Linked DNA regions of Caenorhabditis elegans. The protein of the gene in region 3 interacts with the protein of the main gene of each other region in a pairwise test. Each region holds a gene or a part of one and is shown on either strand. Other genes may lie near its edges.

Evidence for each region. The genes of interacting proteins can lie anywhere in the genome.
Region 1: the proteins of sym-2 (region 3) and C16B8.3 interact in a two-hybrid assay, tested with the Caenorhabditis elegans proteins (one large-scale study listed by BioGRID).
Region 2: the proteins of sym-2 (region 3) and asd-2 interact in a two-hybrid assay, tested with the Caenorhabditis elegans proteins (one large-scale study listed by BioGRID).

The regions. Positions count from the first base shown.
Region 1 is NC_003284.9:3,967,599-3,970,543, forward strand, and holds C16B8.3 (Annexin A7), read right to left. Parts: upstream 1,037-2,945; coding exon 542-1,036; downstream 1-541.
Region 2 is NC_003279.8:6,889,103-6,893,947, forward strand, and holds the start of asd-2 (K Homology domain-containing protein), read right to left. Parts: upstream 3,042-4,845; 5' UTR 2,984-3,041; intron 2,421-2,983; exon of another isoform or gene 2,344-2,420; coding exon of another isoform or gene 2,311-2,343; intron 2,265-2,310; coding exon of another isoform or gene 2,002-2,264; intron 1,958-2,001; coding exon of another isoform or gene 1,647-1,957; intron 1,602-1,646; coding exon of another isoform or gene 1,456-1,601; intron 1,410-1,455; coding exon of another isoform or gene 1,283-1,409; intron 1,233-1,282; coding exon of another isoform or gene 994-1,232; intron 951-993; coding exon of another isoform or gene 859-950; intron 813-858; coding exon of another isoform or gene 152-812; exon of another isoform or gene 100-151; intron 1-99. Other genes in the region: C48B6.4 (Tyrosine-protein phosphatase domain-containing protein), read left to right, coding at 152-812, 859-950, 994-1,232, 1,283-1,409, 1,456-1,601, 1,647-1,957, 2,002-2,264, 2,311-2,343. UniProt on the Caenorhabditis elegans protein: RNA-binding protein that binds to the 5'-NACUAAY-N(1,20)-UAAY-3' consensus sequence in pre-mRNA introns to promote alternative splicing.
Region 3 is NC_003280.10:9,185,474-9,190,348, forward strand, and holds the start of sym-2 (RNA-binding protein sym-2), read right to left. Parts: upstream 2,859-4,875; coding exon 2,834-2,858; intron 1,778-2,833; coding exon 1,355-1,777; intron 281-1,354; coding exon 106-280; intron 1-105. Other genes in the region: twk-4 (Potassium channel domain-containing protein), read right to left, coding at 1,747-1,777, 2,834-3,007.

The DNA of each region.
Region 1 (2,945 bases), on a different chromosome or scaffold from region 3:
ACTCTTTGCTATATTTTTTGTTTTACTCTTAATGGGTTCCAGAGTTGCTTTGATGGGTTCCAGTAATAATCAAATAATACTCGTTGAATTAGCGTCCGACTTACTGGAGATCATAGAATTCATTTGATTTTCACAGAAATCACTTGAAGATTTATGTTTAATATTGTGACATCGAATCGAATATTTCCTAGACCTATAGTATCGAACTGTTATATCAAACCACAATCAGAACTAATTTAGACAAGTTGATTATGTGTCCAATATTGCATCTATTGGAACAATAGGATTTATGAAAGTTAACAATAAATGTTGAATGCATAAATAGACAAATCAAGTAAAATTATTCTAAAGGTAATTTTCAAACATTTCCACGTGCCACTGACACTCAAACCAACCAATAGTTGTTGGAGTATTTCTTAAAATTTTTGAAAAGAACATTGAACAGTTTTAACATTTATTTGGCAATTCAAACAGCAAGAAAAAACATGGTATATTAAATTGATTAGTAGTACAAAAGGTATACAAAAGCTTACATATTAACTCAATATGGTCTTGGATATCCTGGATACTGTCCGGGTGGAGGTGGAGGATATTGCCCTGTTGGTGGTGGTGGGTACATACCGGCTGGCGTGGCTCCGGTTCCAATTTGATATGGCTGCTGTTGTGGATAGCCTGGTGTGCTTGAGTATCCTGGGTTGCTTGGATACATGTTAGTTTGATAGGGTTGCTGTGGAAGTGGAGGTGGTTGTTGGTTGTACGCCGAGTATCCTTGGGTTGGGAGTGGTGGGGCTTGTTGGACATATCCACTAGGATTCACTCCAGCACCGATTCCCATAGGTGGTGGGGGTGCATATGTGGCTCCGTAAGGTCTTGGTGGCGGTGGAGCATATCCAACTCCGGCGCCAACTGGTGGTGGAGGGGCTCCATATGGAAGAGGCATAATTGGAGTAACACCGAAGCCAACTGGGGAACGATAAGAACCGTCACTAGAGGAAGAACTTGAGGAGGAAGAACTGCACGTGCGACGGCCGTACATCTGAAGAAAAAGTGTAAGTTGAGGGGTTTAAAAGGGAAAAAAATCAAACAGAAAGGTTGAAAAACGATCGATTGTGAGTTGTTAGTTTGCGATCCGCCTATTGCCTCAAAAACGAGAAGGTTTCACAATGTGATACGGTTATCAGTTTGCATTGTCAGAAGAAGTTTCTCGTTTTTCCATAGAGAAGAGCAAACAATGACGTATATGGAAACGAATGAACAAAAAAGAAACGAGGGCGTTTTCAGTGTATATTTTGAAACTTTCTTTGCAATCCATGAGTCATGAGGATAGATCATGGACATGACCTTCTGGATGATTCAATGGGAAGGAAGATTACATTCATTTGAATTTATAATAGGAATAATATCGAAATGTCAAACTGGAATGCCAATCAAATACAAACGTCAAAAAAATTATCAGGAAGAATGGAAAAGATCAGGGCAATATTTTAAAATTCAAAACTTTTTCTTGAATTAAGCCAGTCTGCTCTCCGTCGGTCTTGTTGTAAGTTAAATCCAAGCTTCGCTCGACTTTTCAGGAAAGACTGGCTGTAGTCTGGAGGTAAGAAATGCTGACCTTAAGTTTGACCGCGACAACCATCCAGACTGAGCCATCCGGACAACTTTCAACCCTATTGGGTCTGTAAGTTTCTTTTACAATTTTAACAGACTTTTGAAACTCAATTACGATTTAATTTTGTTTTTCAACTTCAATGAATTTTATTGTGTATTAGTTCTTGAATCCGTGTAATTTTAATAACTATTTCAGTCCGTTTTGCAAACCAGAAAGGCCGATCAATACACTTCCTAGCTAAGATTTTCTGCGCCTATGCATTTCGCACCTGTTCTATTCCGAACATGTTTGCGGATCAGTTCTCTGACCACCTAGTGTCTTCACATGATTTTGACATTGGAAACATGTGGCCGAATGGTCTAGTGGTATGATTCTCGCTTTGGGTGCGAGAGGTCCCGGGTTCAATCCCCGGTTCGGCCCATTCCTTTTACTCTTTTAAGCATTTTCAGCATGTAACTTTGAAAACTTGTATTTTGATCGAATCGTGAGACACATTCAGTAAAATTATGGGGAATTGTAAGAAAAGGCTTTGAATATTTTTTTATGTATTATTAATGTATTTGATCGCGGAATACATTCATATTTACATCATCTTCTACGAGTTTAACAATTTGTGAAAATTATAATAATTATGAAAAGTAATTTGAATTATATTAAAACAATTTCTCACGATTAGCAATTTTGATTGTTAGAAATCCTATTCCTAACCAAAACTTTCGAAAAAGTCATACTCTGCATTTTCAAGGTCAATGCTTACTGCGTTCAGAGTTTTCTTGTTTAGTAGAGACGCAGATAGACTTGTTTATTGGTTTGTGACTAGTCGACCACACGCAGAGCGCTATTCACGAGAGCGTGCATGTGTAGGAAGAGGCGTTCACGACGAGACGTGGCCGGATGGTCTAGTGGTATGATTCTCGCTTAGGGTGCGAGAGGTCCCGGGATCGATCCCCGGTCCGGCCCACTTACTTTTTTCCTTGTAGCGAATGGTTATATGCTTTTGATGTATTATGCATATGGTTATTTCAGGAAAACTACAATACATATCAGCTCGAAACGTGGCCGGATGGTCTAGTGGTATGATTCTCGCTTAGGGTGCGAGAGGTCCCGGGATCGATCCCCGGTTCGGCCCGCTTAATTTTTTGATGTATTTTGTTAAGTGTTTTTATGATTGTTTGGAATTATAAAAATTTAGTTGATATTTGCGAATCTGAATAAAAAATCAATACAATTTTAATAATCATTTTTGAATCTCTCATGACAAACTTTATAGAAAACAATTCTCTATTTACAAAACCGGAAAAGCAACACAAGGTATAAAAAATGAACACTTAAATAT
Region 2 (4,845 bases), on a different chromosome or scaffold from region 3:
AACGAATCCATTTTTGACGTGAAAACATTTGAAAACATAATTATTGATTTCAACGTACACAAGGGAAGATCAATAAACCACGATTATAAAATCTTGCGAAGACAATCATTTTAAACTTCTACGAGTTTTGAAGTCTTCCAACTTGCACAAAATGGGTGCAAAATCATCAAAAAAGGCGAAAATCTCGCCACCAGCGGATCGATATTATACAAAAGTCGATATTGAATCTGGTCCCGCCGTTGTTGCAAAGTCTCAAGATTTCATATTGGAAGTGCCGGTCATTCCAGAAACATGCGAAGAATCGATTCCCGATTCAAGAATCTCTCGTGATGTCTCCGAAGTCTCACGTGTGTCTTCTGGAAGTGAGGTGGATGTTACCGGAAGTGGCGTTGACGATGAACATCTTGATATACAATCCAGTGATGATAGTGTTGAGTCGATATTTGATCCATTGTTATATCTTGCCAATCAGGGAATTGATGTAACTCATTCCAATATAAGGGAACTTGTATGCTCGGAAAACTATCGAGAATTTTTGAAACAGCGTAAAACCATGCTTACACCAAAGGAACTTTTCGAACTCGAACATGGAAGAATTCCTGGGAATTATGGTAAATCAAAACCAAAAGAAGAGATTTTGAAGGAAATTGATGAACTTGAATGTAAAGCTGATGATTTATTAACTGATTTGAGTGATGATGAAAATGGATGGCCAAAGTATGATATGAATGCTCTTCTTGAAAAATATGAAAATCACAAAGACTCGGAGCCCAATTTATTGATTCCAACAAAGGAGGATTATGAAAGAGATAGTGAGTTTCAGTTTATTTCATCGCAAGTATCGTTATTTTATTTCAGAAAAAACCTGCTGTCAGCAAGTTCTGAATAGCTACGAGTTTGACATGGTAGAGTCTTCAATCAATGGTCATGGGTTGGAATTCGAATGTCTGGTAAGTGAAATTATAATTAATAAATGCACTATAACTCTTTCAGGGCCCTGACGCAACTCGAACACAAGATTTTTGGACTCAGTGCCATAAAGATCGCATCAGCTTGATTACAATGTTTGGAAAGTTTTTGGAGAAACGAGGGGCCAACTGTAAGCAATATATTCCTGACGATAAACAAGAGATTCTCAAATGTGGACAGATAATTGTACGACGATTGACAGATCCAGAATATCCATATCGACATTGCAAAATTCAAAAGTTTGCAGTAAGATGCAAACTAGTGTAAGTTAATGTGTTCAGATTACTAATACTGATTTGATTTTAACTTTTAGACCAGAAAATTATGGTTGGTATGTTGTTTGGCACTGTCAACGAGATATTCAAGAATATCCATCAAAAGATTATACAAAAGAAGATGAAGAGTTTGAGAATCTTCGAAAAGATCTTTTGAATGATATGGTAAGCTTTTATCAAAAAATAAATAATAAATCTTATATTTTTAAAGCCAACTCAACACTGGCTTTTTCATGGTCCAATGCAGTTCAGTCCTCTCCGGGATAGACTTGTGGAGCGTAATTCATATCTCATTGAAAAGAAAGGATCCAGTGTTCCAGATTTCGTGACACAACCTATTCAGGCGGCCAACGCTAGGTTTGATTTCGATACCGTGAAATGAAAATCGAACATTCTTTATAGAAAGGCTCTCTACGAAAAATCTTGCTATTTGGGTTTCCTGACCTCTTCATCATCTCAGATCTCACTGTCTGGATGCCAATCAAGACAAATTGGCGGAGCTGACGAAGTTGAAAATCTCGTTAAACTGGAAACCGAGGAATTTGATCTACAGAAATCGCTCGGCTCATATCCAATTCAATCTCAAAACCGTCTGAATAATGTCATTCAAATTTATGCCAACAGTCCAGATCCAGAACAGACACAAGACTTTTGGCAAATGATTCTACATAAAGGAATTCCAACAATTCACACTATATCTGATTTAGACCCGGGTAAAATTTTAAACCTCAGATTTCAAAAAAAAATTAAATTTCAGAAGAAACTGCAAACTGTGCTTCCTATTTTCCCTACGGCAGTGAAAGTGAGAAATCATGCGGAATTTATACTGTTAAACGACTCGGAATTGAGACTCAATTATCGATGAACCTGAAGAAACAGCAACTTCTGATTTTCAAGATGGGAGAGTCTGAGTATCAAAATGTTGTTAATGTAACTCATTTCCACGAAATCGTCAAGAATCAGGTTACTGATTCGAAAGTTAGAAACATCGAAATAATCAATGAGCATGTATCACGTCAGGTTTGAATGATTCATTTATTTGAATTTATAACCATATCCTTTTTAGTCAAATCCTCAACTTCTGATTCATGGTCCCTAAGAAAACAACGCAAAGAGTTAATATTGAATACGGTATTCTAGATTTTTATGGAATTTTAATAAAGTGATATGGCTTTATTATTTTTGAACTGAAAGCATTGACCTTAAAAAAGAATAAGAGGGAGAATTGAAAATGTGAACAAACTCCAAACTTGCAAGTAAATACATCGAAGTGATGGTGAAAGGAGGAGAACATAATTACATACTTTGTCGGTATTTCTCTGACGGTCTCTCCAGTGAAGTCTGCACTATTTCGTTATTGCCCGATATTAACACCCGTGGTTACCCACATTCATCGATGTTAAAAAGTAGAGGAAAGAAGAATTCAATGGGAACTGGTTCAGATTTAAGAGATTACTGTAGGATTATAAAGCTCCGAACAAAGTAGGTAAAGGGGAAGAGGACCGAAAATAAAAACAATAAAAGGTAACATTTGTAAAAGGAAATTGAAGGATGGCCTTATGAATGCACCTTATGAATGCACCAATTTTCCGGTACATTGCTTGCATGATGGAATAATAGAATTGTCCGAGACACGAGAATAAAATTGGTGAAAGGATATTGGAAGAACTTTTCTCAAGTTAATGGTTTTCTACTTATTTACAGTTAAATACAAATTTTTAAAAGAAATAACAGCTTACCTGACAGCTCCTAGCACTTGAAGAATCGATTGGGTGGCGTGAAGACAGGAATACGGCTGGAAATTAAACATTTAAAACTGGAGTCATTTTTGAATTAATAAAAATCTATAAAGATAAAGTGAGCTAAGAAGCATAAGGTGTTTTATTTGCGAATAAACAAATGAGAAGAAACCGAATCGGCTGGATGGCAAGTTACGTAACACCTAGGCAGTCGGCATACACTTTCATTTTTCAAATGTATTGCAATGAGAAGGTCATCGTTGGAATGCGGCACTAAAAGAAATAAGAGGCAAGAATATTGAAAGCATACTTTCAATGAATGAATATTTTCCAATGGCAAGGTTTTTTAAATTTCAGTATTTTTCAAATAACTGACTGAAATTGTCCACATTGACAGAAATTATTTTGAATGTGATATCACTTGTTGCTTCGATTTGAGAAGCTCAGATTGTTTGGAAAAATAAGTTCATCGATATTTATAAGCTACCTCGTGTAAAAATGAAAATCTTCTCTTACTGGGGTGAGAGTTGCACCTCAAAAATATGAATAATTCTTGGAAAAATTGACACGAAAGTATTTTGGATAGGGTATTGGAAGGGTAAAGAGTATTAAGAAAATTTATTGGAAAAATTGAAAGTTTAGAATTGCTCAATCTGAATTAAGATTATATTAGAGAAAGAAAACGAGATGTGGGTTTTCCAGAAATTCGAGGAATAACAAGAGAATTTGGCAAATCCGCGAATCGAATTAAATATTAATTAGGGTTCGCATTTTCAGATTTTCAGAAATATTTTGAGCGAAAAGATTCATGCTAAATGTATTTTCGATGTAAAACACAAGTTTTCTGGAAAAGTGCTCGTAAAAGCTGGCTTCCCTATCGTATCGGTATAAATATATGTCAACTTTACATATTTCAAATTTATTGTAAAGTTCAATAAATTTTTCCAAAAGTAATGTCTCACTGCACGGTAGAGGGAATGAAGAAAACTATGAGTCCTCTACCACCACTAAATATGAATTAATACATGCCGCGTGCAGATTTAATTATAGTCATCATCTTCATACACCCTTTCTTTTAGTATTCGAACGAGAAGCAAAGGAAGAAGGAATAAGCTTAAATGAGTGAGAAGTGGACGAAGAGAAAGAGTGAAAGACATGATGATGAGCTCAGGAAAACTTATATGACGATAGATTACGGATTAGAGAGATTTAGACGGACAGAATGACAGGCGGATCAGTTGTAACGATGCCAGGTGACCTCTTATTCTTCTTTGCCCACTTTTCCGCACCAGTTGTTGCTATTTGAGGCCATCGGGAAGCACTAAAGGACCCCGACTTTGTCTCAATTGATTGGCTCTAAATGTCGGATTTCCGTCAAGAATTTGAAAAAATGGACGCCGCAAAAAACCTTTCTAGAAAATATCATTAATTGCAAAGACTTGATGAGAAGATAATCTCTTCGGTAACTAACTATGTTCAATATGGAAAACAATCCGAATGTAATTAGAGAATAAACACTTATCCATTCGATGAGCAGCTCAATATAGAACACACGCGAATAAAAATTGGAAAATCACTGGAAAGCCATCACTGACAACATGTGTGCGCGCGTATTTTCTTCTTTTTCCATCATCCGTCTCCGTTCAATCAACACTATCTTTTCGGGGTTCCCATGATTCGTTTTATGAGGAAAAAATGAAAGCGGAAGGCAAGAAAATGGTGAAAGGAAACAGAACGATATAATTTCTAGTGACAGGTATCTGGAGAGATGTTGAGTTGATCATCTAGTTGAGTTAAATTTGTGAAAATGATTAACTTGAATGGGAACTCGAGATGTTTTTGATATTTATTCGTCGGATTAT
Region 3 (4,875 bases):
CTGGAGTTTGTACAGGTATTTATCGAATTTTGGAACATAAAATTCAAAAATAATGACCGAAATGCCACATTTATTCTGACAATATTTGAATCAAAAAACACTCACGGCACAATATCCAATCCAGCAAAAAATTGTGCAACATGATGGTCAGAAGCCTGCCATGGTAATCCACGGGCTCTACATACAACATTGTCTCCGTCGGCGCCGACTTCTTGATCTTCCAGAATCGGTGCAGGCTGGTATTCGATATTCACAAATTGATGGGTTTTCTCGAGAAGTTCTGAAAATAAACATGATCTTATTTAATTTGTAATATATTCCGATGGATTTCAATTTTCATTCCCAAATTGATCCCTTTCTATTTCCCGTCAATATCCTTATCTCATCAATTTCCTACGTAGGTATACTACATATGAACTGTTCGAAAACCGAATTTTTAACCACAAAAAATTGCCAAAACTTCCTCGTTTTTTCACTTGTCCTTCCTATTTCTCTTCATATTTTACCATAGAAACGGACCGTCTCTTCCACATGTTTGCCCTCCTTTGTGCGCGCGGTGAGCCATAGAGCCATCATCCATTCGGACACCTTGACTGGTACGCACTGTTTACATTCTATGGAAAAATATATCACAAGAGACCCGAATGGTGATTGAGAGAAAGTGTGGGAAGGTGAGAAGTAGAGAAAACAAGATGATCAGGAGAACCTTTAATGTAAAATACATACATAGGAACATTTGAATTTTGCCAACATCTATCAATTTATTTGGACATCATTAATATTTTAAGAAAAACTTGAAATTTTGTTCAAATGCCCCTGATCCCTACTAGCCATGTTGCATCGAACATTCTTCGCAAAATCTTATTTTGTCTTGAAACAATAATTTATGTGTAAAGTCACAGAATCCCATACCGAGTCATTATCCCAAGATCACCCACTTGTATTTTTTCCCATTCAATATCTCACACAATAGAAAACCCCATTCCAAAAAGAAAATGGTGAAGGCAAAAGAAGAGACAAACACGGGCGGTGTGGCCCTTGAAAGGACACCAAAAAGGTGACAGGTCCTTCCCGCTTTGAAACCATTCATCACAGCAGTAGGGCATTCTTTTACCACCATATCTATCTTATCCAGAATCATCGAAGCAAGTAATCAAACTACAAACGATGGATATAGGAATGCAACTCAAAAATAACATCAATTACTTGAATTAATAATAGTCAAATAATTTTCAATGTAAGAGCAATCATTGCTGTATGTGATTTAATGTCATAATTTTTTTCTAAATTAGTGGCTCTGAACACTTCAAATTTTAATAGGTTTTCGCCTAAATCGATTTTATGAAACACATACCGTCATCCATATCCAAAATGGCCCTGGCAATTGCTACGTCATCTTCAATTTCTTCTTGTTCCATACCATCTTCTTCTTGATTACCGTAATACAAATGTTTGATATCATAATAATGATGAAGTGGATGTGGAACACAAAGTTCGTTTCTCGCGAACAATGGTATGAGCACATGTCTGATTGGTTCTGGACCTTTTGTGAATATATATGATGAGGTTGGATGCTCGTCGAAAAATTTGACGACATCTTCAGGAGTTATATTTACAAGACGAGTTGATATTTCAGATCCGGATGAGGAGGCCGATGATGGTGATGTGCTATTATTATTGGCATCCTCCTGACGGCGTGGGTAGAATGAGGTGACGACTAGTTTTGTGTTCTCATCGTAGTTTCCGTCAGATACTCGTATGAGTAGTAGTCGTTGTTCTGAAGTTATCATGTTGCAGGTAGGAATTTTTTAAAGAATTTATTTTTGAAAAACTTTGTATATTTAATTTTTTAAAAATCTAGAAAATTGAAATAATAGTCTGGCAAAACATATTGAACGGTATCTGAAACTTGAATAATAAAATTAAAATTTTAGAAAATTGCGGATTCCTAAAATGTTTCCAGTTCAATTCAAATAAGATTTCAAATTTTCCTCGATTTTAATTAAGCTTCTCCTCCGCCATGGTCACCTCGGCGCCCATTGTGCCACGTCATTTTCAAAACAAAAGGAGCAGTTTCGATAGAATTACGTAAACAAACAAAATTGGGTTGACCTGTGTAGTATAAACACTTCGTGTCTCGATTGTGGGAGACATTGTGAGAAACAAGACACCCCCGACTGTCACACAGTGCTTCCGGGATTGATGAGCTTGACCTACTAATTTATTACAGAGTTTCAATAAAAGTGAAATCGAGATGGGGTGTCAGACTCATTATTTGAAGAGGAAAATAAATTAAATTATTTGATGTTTCATTTTTTAATTTAAGAATAGATAAAGAGTTTTCGAAAATGCACAAACAATTGAAAAAGCATTGTACTTATCCAATTAACTTGATAGTTTGAGGTTTTTTGTACTGGAAATTTGTTTTTGGAGGTTTCAAAAATTATCCATGAAAAACTTGAAAATCATACTCATTTCTGTAACAAAAAAGCAAGCAGCTAATTTTCTAGTCCCTCGAAATTTAAAAATTTGCTGTTTTATTTTTTAGAACTTCAAAATTAGAATCATCTAAGCTCATGTTCTACTTCTACATTCAGAACATTCAAAATCCAAATTAATTTATCTCTGAATGTCGTATCAATAGTTGGTATTTTCATTCCTGTTAACCTATCGTACTAGTATCTCATACGATAAAGATGATAAAGATAGTATATTTCAATGCCAAATTTTTTGGCAACTTGGGAATGAGGTGAGATTGGAACTTCGGACAACTGTTGTGCTGGTTTTCAATTTAAGATATTTAAATATTAATTTAAATAAAAAAACAACTTGCCTGGATGAGACGTTTGCCGATTCATCAATGTAGGGAATCGTCAGTGCGTCCTTGGGTACATACGCAAACCAACGGGGTTGGTGAGGCTGCTGACCGTCGAGACGTCGACCCGCCACCCGCGCAGCAGCCGACAATGAGACCGCCCCTTTTGCGACGAACTCACTTTTTCGAACACTGCAAGAATTGAGAGAATGAATATATCGAGAATGTGTGGAAAATGATGGAGAACATTCGGATGAAGAAAAAAAACTTATGAAAATGAAATCGAGATATAGTTAGGGCTGCTAGTTGTACCGACTTGGAAGCCTTTGACTGGTTTGACTCAAAGCTTTTCCTAAGGATTTTCCAAACTTTTGATTGATAGTCAGACAACATCAAAAACACAAGGTTCTAATCATTTTGAAAAAAACAACAAAAAAAACATTAAGTTTTATAGACACAAGCAGCGAATAACACAAGCCGTAAATGTGGACCCATTTTTACTTCAGAAAATTTAGAATTCCACGAATTTTTACTACCGTATTCCTATCATTAGCTTCAGTATGGCAAAATTCTAACGAAAACTGGTTCATTACTTTTTTCAAATGTTTCTGAGAATTATTTTTGGAAATTGTGAAATAAGTTATTCTGTGGGTTGTCAAAGAAACGGGGAGTACAACTTATAAAGGAAATACGGTAGCTTTAACATTTTTTATGTTTTAGACATCCAATTTAAAATTACTCAGGGTCAATCAAAAGAAGTAGTTTTTGGGATAGCGATCACGGTACTTTATTTTAACTTTCAATGCCCAAAAATTTCCAAAACTTTAACATTGAGATCTTTTTTCAAGTTCATTTTGATCGACGGAATCCAATGAGCTATGTTTTTCGATACAATTCTCAAAACCCAACAAATGTTCGCTATCCAACACATATCTAGCTGTCAACAAGAACCCGCAAAAACCCAAATACCACTTCGAATTAAGATTAAGATAGGGATGTTTAGAGGTGAAGGTTAAATGTAGATGGGCAATAGAAGACGTGTTTACCGGCGTGAGGTAAAACTGAGAAAATACGCATGCAAAGAAATATATTCGATAGAAAGAGAGAATATGGGGGAAACTATTTGATATTTGCTCAAATGATTAACCTTCTAATCTCGTTCACTCCAAATTCTTTGCACTTTGTTTTTGTGACAAAATTGTGAGAAGCTCAGCTGATAAGCTGAGAAGCTGTCACATGATTTTGAAAACCGATTCCTAGAAAAAAGTGAAGCTGTAATTGAAATTTTTAACGATATCAGATTTTGAGGACAACTGATAAATTGATCGTCAAAATCATTTACTACATTACAATTACATTTTTAGAATTCAATTTTTAAAGGTTTTACTTGAATCACTTCTCTAAAAATAAAACTTCTTAGTTTCCCTCCGAATTTCAGCAAAAACCTCTAATCCAGAACCCACGTGTTCCACTTCGACTTCCTTCTGTTTTGGTTTCTTTGTCATCTAAGTCTCTTCTCAAATCTTGTTTCCATCACCACCCGCTCAGAAAATGACCTCATTTTTCGAGGACGTGACGGAAGGGAAGATCAGAGACCTTCAGAAGACAATCTAAACTTGTGAAATACTATGAACGTCGAAGAGATTTGAGACTGTGTTTGGAAGTGAGAAGACGATGAAAAAAGATGATGACGGAAAAACCGCTGAATGGTAACTGGGTAATTGGGATTGAAACAGTTTTTTTTTCTCGTCTAATTTGACAATTAATTAGGAAATGAGAACATTTTTTTCAGAACACAGACAACTTTGGAAGACAAACTTCTAGTAAGTCCTTATACAAACGTGTCTAGTGGTGCTCTGAGAAAAGAAAAGGCCTGAAAGACGAAAAATTCATAAAATCCCAAACTAAACGTATTGAGAGCAACTGCTTCAGAGCAAGAACGTGGAATTCGTTTGGATTGCACAATATACCTTAGACGAGTAACCCATGAGTTCCAACATTATTTGGAACTTCTTGACTGTCTCTTTTTTGCTTCAAAAAATATAATTTATAAATACAAA